Arabidopsis thaliana: one gene and its partner. The protein of the gene in region 1 interacts with the protein of each later gene in a pairwise test. Each region holds a gene or a part of one and is shown in the gene's direction. Other genes may lie near its edges.

Region 1 (6,302 bases):
CTTTTTTGAGAAAAATTCAATCTGCCTTTATAAATCGTCTTTTTTGGTTACTTGGATCTGTTACGTTTCTACAATGAACCAAATTAAACAACTATGGTGTTTTCATTAAGCAAACTAAACAACTACAGCTATATAAGTGGAGATATGGAAAGGGGTCATGTTCCTACATTCCAGAACAAAGGATCATATCTTTATTACTGTGAAAGAAATGACAATTTTTTAAATAAATAAAATGTAATTTCTTCAATTTTGTTTTTTGTAATTTTACAATGAGTGCAACATTTTAGTAAATGTTTTTATGCTATTATACAAATCAAACGAGAATATTAAAATGACATAGTCACGAAATCAAATTTATTGAGAGTAAGCTTGATAAATCAAATTTAGAACTAACCAAATCTTTGACTTTCTTATTTGCTCTCACATTCCTGAACAGTTAGATCAATCGTACTCTCCAACTTTTCTACGCACAAAATTTAAAAATTTGATAGTTTTTCTTTTCATTAAATAAAAGACGAGAAACGGTTATATTTGCCTGAGTAGAAACCGCCGATAACAACAAAGTGGAAAATATGGCTAGTTTGTATTTTTAAGTAATTTCTCGATTTAATTTACTTAGGACAAAAATGTATTTATAGAGAAATCGTGCTTTTATTTATTTATTGAGAAGATTCTTTTTTGTTGTTTTGTAAATATTTATTTAACATTTTTATTGGTACAGTGACTTATGTTTTACAATATAAAGGATTTATAAAAATAAAAATTATTTTTCTTTGTCTCTTAAATATGGATATACCCAAATATCATTTTCCATAAAAATTCGGTGTTATCCAAATCTCAAAACCCTATTTTTCATAGATGTTTTTGTTTCTCTTATAAATTCATCACTGAATCTCTCATGCTCACCATTAATTCTCAGCAATAAAAACAAAGAATGAACGATTCAATGAAAGCTCCAAAATTCTTTAAAAACCAGCTAAAACTAGCGGAAGCACATTATCAAAGAGGTAATCTAAAAGGAGCCATTGAAATCGTGAATGACTTAACGTTTGGTCACCCAAACACATCTTCAAACCACCATGAGATCTCACAGATTCTCCTCGCCTATCAAATCAACTTGACTAGCCAAAAAGCCAGTTTCACACACTACGATATCTTGAGAATCTCAAATCCGTTCTGTAGCCATCAGATGATTCAAAGAAAGTACAGAGACATCTTGGTTAAGCTCTACCCCGACACAAATAAATCTATTGCCGCCAAATCAGCTTTCGAGATTATTAATTATGCGTGGAAGATCTTGTCCGATCCTGAAAAACGAAAAGATTACAATATCAAAAAAAGGTTTAAGTGAAGATGATTCATGTCTCCAGAAGATCATGAACCACATCAAACAGTGAGGCAAGGGTTTCATGTCTTTCTTGGGAATTGGAATACAAAACCTATTTGTTCTTCTTCTTTTTTTAGGTTAATTTTATGATTTTATTTTATTTTATCTAGGTATTAATTCCAAGTAAACTTGTGACAGTTTGAAAGTGCTAATGGATATTTTTACAAACTTTTTTTGAATTTATTTAAATGCAAAATTTACAGTTTTGCTGCCATAATAATTATGATTTGATAAGAAAAGTTACGATTCTAGTAGAGTTTGCTTTTCGTTGGAATAACGTGATTATATTTATTTTATTTTAATACAAGATAATTACATATAATGATATAATATGTTGCGAAAAAAGTCTCTGATTCTTGGGAGAAAAGATTCGAAAAGAAGGAAGGATCCAACAAAATCCGAAATTATTATTAACTGAAAAAACAAAAATTTTGCGCCAGCGTGGCAATACTTCTCTGTCAGGAGGAAGGATCCAACAACCAATAAAACTCCGACCCGGATCCGAACCCGAAAGCACCAGACGACTCGTCCTCCACGATCCCAATTTCTCCAATTTCAATTTTGCCAAAGAGCGAGAGAGAAGGAAGAAGATCCAGACGAAGTGGTTTGCCTTCAGGGAACGAGAGAGAGAAAGAGATTTTAACAAACGATGTCGCTGAGGCCGAGCACACGCGCGGAGCTAAGGAAGAAGATATACAAGACAGGCGTCGATGCCGATGAGGCCAGGCGGAGGAGAGAGGACAATCTCGTCGAGATTAGGAAAAACAAGCGTGAGGATAGTCTTCTCAAGAAGCGTCGTGAAGGAATGATGCTTCAGCAGCAGCTGCCTCTCGGAGCTGGCCTTGATGGTCCCCAGACCGCTGCCGCCGTTGAGAAACGAGTAAGTTCCCTTTGATCTGAATTTCGATACAATTGTGCGTGATTTTGTGATTTGGATCACATGATTTGATTATTTAGTGATGGATCTTTGTTTGATTGTTGAAAAAAGTGAGGCTTTGATTCTGTTTCCTACCTCAATTCTAGATCTCAGCTCCCAATCTCATAATTGACCATCAAAGTTTAGTTTTTTGTTTTTGGGAATTTGTTTATGGATATTTGGGATTGATAGCGGATCCTGGATGACCATGTATGCTGATCGCAATGTATAGTGTGCTTTAGTTAGATATCGGAATTTCTATCTTCTGATCCGATGATCTTGTCAATGGATTGGATGTGTTACATTTCTAGCCAAGGAGAGGTTTTCGTTTCTGTGGAAACAACTGTTTGATTACGTTCATGTGCTTTTGACAGTTAGAAGGTATCCCAATGATGGTACAAGGTGTTTATTCTGATGATCCTCAAGCTCAGCTAGAAGCGACTACCCAATTTAGAAAGTTGTTATCTATAGGTAGGTATACATTTGTTCCTTTCAGAAGCAATTTTCTGTTCTGGGGTTGTATGTGTGTAATAGACTTCTGATGGTTGCTTGTAACACGGTTTGATAAACAGAGCGTAGTCCTCCAATTGATGAAGTGATCAAAGCTGGGGTTATCCCTCGATTTGTGGAGTTTCTTGGAAGGCATGACCATCCTCAATTGCAGGTATGTCTTGTACTTCTTTCATTTTTAGATTTGTTCTTTATTAATTGCACCTTGAAGACTCAAGAATAGTTTGGTGGCTTAATGAAAAGTTTGTTTGCAGTTTGAGGCTGCATGGGCTTTGACCAATGTTGCGTCAGGAACATCAGATCATACTCGGGTTGTAATCGAACAGGGGGCGGTTCCTATCTTCGTTAAGCTTCTTACATCTGCTAGTGATGACGTTCGAGAGCAGGTTTGCCACTAACTAGCTAGATAACTGCGTGCTTCCATTTTGTATATGTGACCTGGTCCACCTGGATACATGCCTCTAAGTTCCGTGGTCGTATTTGGTTTGTTTGTTGTTTGTTTTGATCCTTAGTGGTTTTTCGTGATATAGTCAGCCAACTGCTTTTCCGTAGTCATAGGTGCTATAACTTTTTATGGCTTCGTACAAACCCTTACATGATATCATTGTAGGCGGTGTGGGCCTTGGGAAATGTTGCTGGGGACTCTCCAAACTGCAGGAATCTTGTTCTCAACTATGGGGCCCTTGAGCCATTGCTGGCTCAGTTAAATGAAAATTCTAAGTTGTCCATGCTAAGAAATGCTACATGGACCTTGTCCAACTTTTGTCGTGGTAAACCACCAACACCATTTGAACAGGTATGACTACAGGAATGGCTTCTCTTTGATTTTTCTGGACAACTTATGATTGATGGTTCTAGTTTATTTATTTATTGTTATTATTATATTTGTTTCGTTGTGTTCCTTACTTTACTCAAGCCTAGTGTTGGTTATTCATATGTTTCAGGTGAAGCCTGCGTTGCCAATTCTTCGGCAGCTTATCTATCTGAATGATGAAGAGGTTCTCACTGATGCTTGCTGGGCTCTCTCCTACCTTTCAGATGGCCCCAATGATAAGATTCAGGCTGTGATTGAGGCAGGTGTCTGTCCACGACTTGTGGAGCTTTTGGGGTTAGTTCTTTTTTTCCTGACCAATAATTGACTAGACATTATTTTTGTTTATTTCTCATCATATTTAGTCTCTCTATAAAAGTTTGTCTATCTCAATAAAGGTGTTGGTATCTTCAAATTTGTGATGCTTTTTGAGTATCTTCTGGCAACTGAATGTTGATGTTCTTACTATCTCATATTCTTGTTCCTTTTGTTTATTTTTTTTTTCCTTGGTGCATCTATACTAATTAATATATCTTTCTTCAAGTCATCAATCACCTACGGTTCTCATTCCTGCTCTTCGAACTGTTGGGAACATCGTAACTGGTGATGACTCTCAGACACAGGTATGATTTATGACGAACGACTATTTATGTTGTTTTGGGTATTTGTTTTGAGATTTTGACTATGACTGTGTCTTTGCTTGTCAGTTTATAATTGAGAGTGGCGTACTACCACACCTTTATAATTTGCTGACGCAAAATCACAAGAAAAGTATAAAAAAAGAAGCTTGTTGGACTATCTCGAATATTACTGCTGGGAATAAACTTCAGATAGAGGTATGCGGTTTTTTTGTTGCTATCTCTAATATGTCAAGAAGACGGCTGTTCATGGAAGATATTCATTTCTGATTCTGGAAGAAAAGTGAAGAAGTTACTCTTTTCTTAACTTTTTAGTAGAGCGAGCTAATTTTAGTACTTTCATATTTTCCAATGACTTCTCTGCCTAGAAACCTAATTATACCCTATTTGCTACTGAAAATATTGAGATTAATTAAAGTTTCAGAGGCTAAAAGCAATTTTTTAATCAGTTTATATATTTGAAACAATAGGCTGTGGTTGGCGCTGGAATAATCCTCCCTCTTGTGCACTTGCTCCAAAACGCGGAGTTCGATATAAAGAAGGAAGCTGCTTGGGCTATTTCCAATGCCACATCAGGAGGGTCACATGAGCAGATTCAGTATGTCATCTCTATTCTGAAGCGCATTTGCAAACAACTAACTTCACTTCATAGTGTTCCTTCTTAGTCTTATACCATTATCTATCTCGAAATCGAAAAATGCCATAACACAGTTTTGCATGCAGATATTTGGTGACCCAAGGCTGCATCAAACCACTTTGTGATCTTCTAATCTGCCCTGATCCAAGGATCGTGACAGTGTGCCTCGAGGGTCTTGAAAACATTCTCAAGGTTGGTGAGGCTGACAAGGAAATGGGATTAAACAGTGGGGTGAATCTCTATGCTCAAATAATAGAAGAATCTGATGGGTTGGACAAAGTCGAAAACCTTCAATCCCATGATAACAACGAGATATATGAGAAGGCCGTTAAGATATTGGAGAGATATTGGGCTGAAGAAGAGGAAGAACAGATTCTGCAGGACGGCGGGAATGACAATTCACAACAGGCTTTCAATTTTGGGAACAATCCCGCTGCTCCCGTTGGTGGATTCAAATTTGCCTGAAAAAGGTATACAGTAGTACAAATTGAAATCCTTTGGTTTGGGAAACATGAGATTCAGCTTTTGCAACTGTTATTGACAATTGCCAGGTTCAAGTTCGACTTTTTGAGTTCTGGTGCAAAAAGGCTTATTTTTCTGTTTTTTTTTCTTTTTGTTGTTGATGTTGTCCTTATTTGTCTGAATCATTCTCTGATTCTGTATCTTAAACTCTGCTATGAATTATGTGTAGTGTGGTTTCTGGTTTAGGATATGGTACACTTTGTATTTGTCACTTTAATCTTTGTCGTCGTTATAGTTTAATAACTTTTACTTGGCAAGAGTACAAGTACAAGAAATATTTGATTGCAAAAGAGTCTTCTTGTCTTGTTAATAAAGTCCTCAAATGAATTGGTAAAGGAAAGCTTTAATCTCATCAATATAAGGAGACTTTGTAGGAATGATGTGGCCAAAATCGTGCTCAACAATGGTGGCGCAACCATCTTCAAACAACCCCGCCAGGTCTGAGCTGGCTTGAGTCACAATTTGTCTGTCTTTTCCAGGCTGACTTCCGAATATGTGAAGTGAAGGGCATTTAATCGATCGTTTCTCCTTCATCTCCAACAATGGCCACGGTGTGAAACCCGAGCACAACACGCAGAATCTGAAGTCTATTTCACCTACGAGCTGCTCCTGTTTCCCACATACAGCCGCAGCCATTGCTGCACCTTGAGAGAATCCGAGAATGCCATCAAAAGGCCCTTTCTCTTCAAATGCCGTCTTCAAGTATGTCAACGATTTATCAAACCCTTCAGTTTGAGTCTGATACTGCAATGGATCGAACTGGCATTGGGCCACTGTCCAGCCTGTTTCACTCGGTTTATCAAAATCTGATGACACCAACCACGCAAACTTCTTATTGCATACTCCGGATGGAGGGGTAGCAGTTTGGTAGATGAACTGTA
Region 2 (6,037 bases), on another chromosome or scaffold:
TGAGGCTTGAGCTAATCGAAATAGATAACGTTGGAGAGAATCTGAAATCACAGCAACAACAATCAGTCAAGTTATTCTTCACCTTGGCGGGTCGAACAAATGTTACACAGTGTGGAGATTTAACAAATTTGGGCCTTGAGCTTTGAACATTAAAGCCCAATATACTTATATTCAACGTTGACGTGAGTTTTGACTTTTCGTTCCCCTAATCCAAAATTGCTTCTAGATTAAGCTATATCTCTCCAGAACTAATTTTCGACACTGCAACTTTTTTGACGCGGAAACAAAATATGAAATATCCTAAATTCCATGGAGTCTCAATCTCATCCTTATAAATATCATCAAAACTACAACCCTTTTTAACGCGGAAACAAAAAACTAAGAACGGTTCCATTTGTTTTCATTGTCTAGAAGAGAAGAAGAAGAAGGATGTGTTTGGTGTTCGTGTGTGATCAGGACGAGAGGGTGATCGGAAGGTACGCAGCTCCTGGAGCGTGTCCGTACTGCGGAGGAGCGGTTCAAGTGGTTGACGTAAATAGCCAGTGGAGATTCTGCTTCGTTCCTCTCTCTAATAAATCCAAACGTCGTCATCTCTGTTCCACTTGCGGCAAACGACTCATCGTCCATGGCTGAAAACAAAACTCCCACCTCATACGAGATCATTTCTATATGTACATATATCCAAATCTCTGACTTGCTTTGTGTATCGTGTTTCTAAACGTTTGTAAGAAAAAGAAAAGAACATGTCTTCTCTTTTATGATTTCTCTGTATATGTATGAATCATGATTATGAAAATGAGAATTTTAAGAAATTGGGATTTTGGAGAACAAGAATGATCACTTGCAAAGCTTGAGCTTTTTGAAGAAAGAAGAGACTTGGGATTTAGGATAAGGCTTTGTAGCAATACACGTCGGAATATTCTCCGGCTGCTCCATCCATAGCTTATGAGAGATTCCTCCTAATTTCAGCTTCTCTGACAAATTCATCATCTGCGTTTCCCCTTTAACTTCCAGAGTCACCTAATCCCCAAAAAATAAAGTGTTTTAATTAATCCACCATTGATTCCGGCCAGAGAACTCTAAAATTAGGGTCATGTTGACTAACCTTATGCATAGAATCAATGTGCTGCGGATCACAGTACTGAAGCGTGACCGGATCGTCTTTGAACGACCAGATCGCTGCCACTGACGCATGACATCCTTGTGTTACAACGCTCCCAAGTGGCCACGAATCGATTAGATCTCGTCGAAGCACAACGTATTGCACCACGACGTCGTCGGGTTTCTCCGCCGACGAAGCATCGACGACGGCATCGATTTCGCCAGTCTGCTGGCTCATTGAAGGAGAAGCCGTTGTGAATCTTCGGAAATGAGCAAATCGGATCGTAGAATGATAAAACCTAATTCGCGGCGCCGGAGCAGAGAGTCGGCGGGTAACTATCGGGAATCGAAACGCTGCGGAGAGGACGGCGGTCGCCATATGAAAGGAAGACGCACATGGACTTTTGCTATTGGATAAGATTTTTCTTAATGGGCTTTTAGTAGACCCAGTTATTTTCTGATGTCTCCTCAATTAAAATCAAATCTAAATTCGCTCTGGTTTATCACTTAAACGGCATAACCAAACTATTTCATTCGCTCGAAATCCAAACCAAATAAATTGATTCTTATTTTCCTGATTACTCTTTTCTCCTTTCGCGGTTGAGATTTTATGATCTTTCCGAACGAAATCAAGCATTCCGACGTCCGTACACTATCCGGCGCTGCTTAAACCGTCTCTCGTCGCCTGTCTGATCTGTTATCTTCTCTACTCTCCGGTGTCGTTGAGTAATCATTCTTTTCTTCTTCTGATAGAGTTAATTTTCTTTGTTATATGTTTGAGGCTGCTGCACGAAATTTTAGCTGTAATCCTCTGAAAACAAGCTCTGCTGATAGGCATGATAGGGTTTCTAAATCAGGCTTGTTTCTGTTTTGTATCGTTCCAGTGTGTTAATACTGAGCAGAAATCGTGATTTCGCTGAGTATAACTCTTGTTGATTTGGTCGCTTTAGGGTTTTGCTTCTCACTCGTTTTTTCAGTGTTGCAATTTGTTTGAATTATAGAATTACTTGGAAATACTAGCTGATTTAGATGTGATGTATGAACATTGAAAATTTTGGTGTAGAGATTGATTATCAACTTCTCTGCTTTTTGGTAGGAGCTTGGTCAAAAGACCTCTTGATAAGCAAAATATGGGAGAAATGGTAAATTACACACCCTTTCCAGGTTTTTTATTTTCTTTTTCCAATTGTTACCTTGAAAAAGGCAGATTCCACAACATTTGCTTTCGTTGCAAATAGATTGTTTCAATGGACCAAGATATCCGACTGGATACAACACGAGCAAGATGTGAGTAAACAGCTTTTCTTGTGCTTCAGATCCTTTTCTTTCTTTTTTTGGTTTAAAGCTTTCTGGTAATAATTAGTCAATCTTTATGCTCCTTTCCTAGTGTCAAACCTTCTCAAGAGGCATCGAGAATTGTCAGACCGTCTTACTAGGTAGGAAATATGCTTTTGAACTATATAGTTCACTTCTCGATCTTTATGTTTGCTAAGTTTGTATTTGGTGATCATTCATTTTAGGGATTCTGATAAGACAATGTTAGATCGCTTAAACAAAGAATTTGAAGCTGCACGGAGATCCCAAAGTCAGGGTGGGTATGGATAGCTGAATTGCAGAATTGGACGAATTATCTAACTGACTTTTTTTTTGCTTCATAAGTATTTGCTCATCCGTGTATCTATTTTAATCAAATGCTGTATTTGCTCCTATCCTCTGCAGAAGTCTTCTTAGATGGGGAAGAGTGGAATGATGGTTTGTTGGCCACATTAAGGGAACGGGTATGGCATCCATCATTGTGTGCTTCCTTTTATTGTCAACATTGTTGTGTACTTAAAAGAGGTGTTCCAAGCCTTGGTATCTAGTTGAAGAAGACTTAGTAGACACTTTAATAAGGGCAGATCTAGATTTGATTATGTCGTTCTGATAAAAAGAGTTATATGTTCTTTGTGCTATGAAATCTTTTATGCCATCTTTTTCTTTTCTTCTGTTGGCTTTATTGAATTTTTCCTGAACTTGACCATGAACTGTGTAGGTGCATATGGAAGCTGACAGAAAGGCAGATAACGGTAATGCAGGTTTTTCACTAGTTTGTCATCCTGAAGAACGAATTACTTACAGAGTGGGAAATAAGGTACTCCTGAGGTCTTACATTCTTCCAAATTTCTTCTGTAGAGAAATTGATTTTGTTTGTACCCAAGGTCTGTTGGTGTAAGCCTTATCTAAGTCTATATAGCACAGAATTTACCATGATTCTTTCAAGATACCCGCAAGGAAGACTACTTCTGTCACAAAAGATATACTATATGGCTGTAGAAATTTCTGGATAGTCCAAAGGAAACCTATCGTTTTGTTCATTCATCTTGGCCGGATGCAATGTTTGCCTAAAAGATAGATCCAATCAGACCAATCTTGGTTGTATACTTGTATATCTTTGTTGAAGAATGTTGATTGTTGTAATGTTGTGTCTTCCCCCAAATTTTGTAGTTGCTACAAACTTTCCTGATTTTAAAGTTTTGACTGACACCTGGCTAATCTTAAGTTTAGAATGACCTCTCACTTTGAATCGATACCAGGTCGTTTTTGCTTATATATTTGGTGTTTTATCAAACAGGTGATATGTTGCCTAGATGGATCGAGAATTGGAATACAGTTTGAAACATCTACTGCAGGTATTTTGAACTATAACTGGCATTTTGTCACAATTTCCAAGTGTTTTTTCTTTACCAAAAATTATTAGCAGTTATCATAATGATTTTTTCTTCAAAGGTTTCTTACCTTTTGGCGTGTCAGTGAAAGAGAGTTAGCTGTTTTGTCTCCATATTTCTATGTATATGAAGACATTGGGACTTTTCCTAACCTTTTCATCTCCCTGTATATGATAATTAAATCCGTTTTATATAGGAGAAACTTACGAGGTTTACCACTGTGTGCTTGAGAGCAAGTCGTTTTTGGAGAAGATGATTGTGCTTGAGCACACAATTCCTTTCTTTTTGCCGCTAAGTGACTTGGAAAATGATCTTCTTTTTTCGAATGCTAAGGTACCTGATCTTCAGTTTATCCTCTTACTTCCTTGTCTCTTATATGTTTTTGGTTTTAACATTTTTCGATGCCAGAAATTCATCGATAATGTTGGGGATCTCCTGCAAGCATATGTGGACAGAAAGGAACAGGTTTGTCAAAAATCTAGATCATGAGTAGATGTTCAAACTTAGATTGTGCTTGTCATATTGGCCTTTTAAATTGTTGTTTTCGGTCATGACTTCTTAAGTTTTTAACCTGCTGGCTTCTTGTTCAATTTGTTTCTCAGTAAAAATACATCAATATGCTCTCTAGATAGCAATGAAAATGGTACTAAAATCATGTGACCAGTTAACTTGGAGTAAGAGAATCTCAGCACTAATGTATCATCAACCTTGTCAGATTAGGATATGAAATGATTTTTAGATGTATTTATTTTATAATGAAAAACGGGGCCAAATAATCTGGTGTGACTATACCGGGTGTGTTGTTATTCACCACTGTCGGTGAAATATGCACCAAAAGTCTAAAGTGTTAGGAACCTCTTAAATTTCACAAGTTAACCAGGATGCTTCTCCTGAATTTCATTATAGGTCCGGCTTATCAAAGAGCTCTTTGGACATCAGATCAGTGAGATTTATCACAGTCTTCCTTACCACATGATTGAATTTTCTATGGATGATTGTGACTGGTTAGCAATTTCATAGATCCATATACTTCCTCTTAACTGCTGCTACACTAGATATTGATGTGGCCATGTTGCCACTTAAAATTTTGTTTTTATAACCTTTTAAAAAACCAGATATGTTTTGGATTATAGCAAGTTCGTGGTGAGCCTTAGATATGGAGATCTTCTGTGTGAACTTCCGACAAAAGTGAGAATTCTAGTATGGCCAATGCATCATCTGTCGAAGAAACAGTGTACAAGCCCTGGAAGTCCAGCAATCCCTGTGCGTTTACCATTTGCCGAGGATGCTTTCCGGATCCAATCACTACCTGAAGGTATTCCTAGTTTAAATAACGATCTGTTTAAGTTATGTTTCTACGGTTTATTTATTCTTTTGTTCATTGCAGCATACGCAGAGATTATGCCGAACATGCCGAATGAAATTCGGCAATTATTTCAGACTAGTCCAAGCTAAAAGTTGAAGCTGTGTGCAAACTTTCTACTTGTCTCGTTGCTTCGTTGTATGATGTTTGATTTTGATCCTTGTTCCAAACTGTTAAAATAGTGCTATGAAGAATACCTTTTACAGAATGGATTTGTTCTGCTATTCTATTCCGGTTAAATTGTGCTGCTTCATCGATTAGCCCATTACTAACTGCTCGAAACAGAAACAGATAGATGTATGAAGTTTTGTTCTCTATGGCATACTGTGGTTCGATCATATCCTTCATGAATTTACGCACTTGAAAGTCAAAAGTGGCTGTAAATCAACTAAACTTATCTACAATGAGAAGAGATATACATTTGTTTTCTTGGTCCACCATTTAGCAATTTTTCATATTAAAGATCCTAGTTGAAGTAATTAAAAACGAAAAGTATGTTACTAAATATGAAATTACGGTGATGGTAAGGAATCCCGGAGTTGTGTTACCCACTTTGAATTATCTTTTCACAAATCCATCCATGCAAAAACTTTAAGAGTCACTACTTATTTTTGTTGCTGTTCCTTCCCCCATCACTTGTCATATCACAATTTAAGAGATTATGCTCCTTAAACATATCGGAACTTAACATAGAAAGTTCTTGATAAATGAAAAATTTGTTCATTGTTTCAATTATTTTTACTGTATGAAAGAATTCAAATGGGTTTGTACTTGGCAAATTACTTTTTGTATTTTTCAATGAGTTTTTTCTCAAAAAAAATTAGTAGTAATACTCAATATATCTACATCGAATAAGTGACACAAACAA

What was found. Proteins that work in one complex are often made in the same cells at the same time.
Region 2: the proteins of IMPA-4 (region 1) and AT5G10710 interact in a two-hybrid assay, tested with the Arabidopsis thaliana proteins (one large-scale study listed by BioGRID).

The regions. Positions count from the first base shown.
Region 1 is NC_003070.9:2,992,470-2,998,771, forward strand, and holds IMPA-4 (importin alpha), read left to right. Parts: upstream 1-1,861; 5' UTR 1,862-2,036; coding exon 2,037-2,267; intron 2,268-2,677; coding exon 2,678-2,774; intron 2,775-2,875; coding exon 2,876-2,967; intron 2,968-3,067; coding exon 3,068-3,199; intron 3,200-3,423; coding exon 3,424-3,609; intron 3,610-3,757; coding exon 3,758-3,921; intron 3,922-4,168; coding exon 4,169-4,247; intron 4,248-4,331; coding exon 4,332-4,460; intron 4,461-4,732; coding exon 4,733-4,860; intron 4,861-4,985; coding exon 4,986-5,364; 3' UTR 5,365-5,369; exon of another isoform or gene 5,370-5,450; 3' UTR 5,451-5,739; downstream 5,740-6,302. Other genes in the region: AT1G09260 (Chaperone DnaJ-domain superfamily protein), read left to right, coding at 935-1,351; AT1G09280 (rhodanese-like domain protein), read right to left, coding at 5,740-6,302. UniProt on the Arabidopsis thaliana protein: Binds to conventional NLS motifs and mediates nuclear protein import across the nuclear envelope. Acts as a cellular receptor for the nuclear import of the virD2 protein of Agrobacterium and is essential for Agrobacterium-mediated root transformation.
Region 2 is NC_003076.8:3,377,388-3,383,424, forward strand, and holds AT5G10710 (centromere protein O), read left to right. Parts: upstream 1-1,568; 5' UTR 1,569-1,827; intron 1,828-2,197; 5' UTR 2,198-2,231; coding exon 2,232-2,243; intron 2,244-2,339; coding exon 2,340-2,388; intron 2,389-2,488; coding exon 2,489-2,537; intron 2,538-2,621; coding exon 2,622-2,692; intron 2,693-2,820; coding exon 2,821-2,879; intron 2,880-2,938; coding exon of another isoform or gene 2,939-2,955; intron 2,956-3,133; coding exon 3,134-3,232; intron 3,233-3,712; coding exon 3,713-3,770; intron 3,771-4,002; coding exon 4,003-4,139; intron 4,140-4,214; coding exon 4,215-4,271; intron 4,272-4,712; coding exon 4,713-4,810; coding exon of another isoform or gene 4,811-4,826; exon of another isoform or gene 4,827-4,939; coding exon 4,940-5,121; intron 5,122-5,193; coding exon 5,194-5,261; 3' UTR 5,262-5,479; downstream 5,480-6,037. Other genes in the region: AT5G10695 (methionyl-tRNA synthetase), read left to right, coding at 430-633; AT5G10700 (Peptidyl-tRNA hydrolase II (PTH2) family protein), read right to left, coding at 666-714, 842-1,020, 1,106-1,480.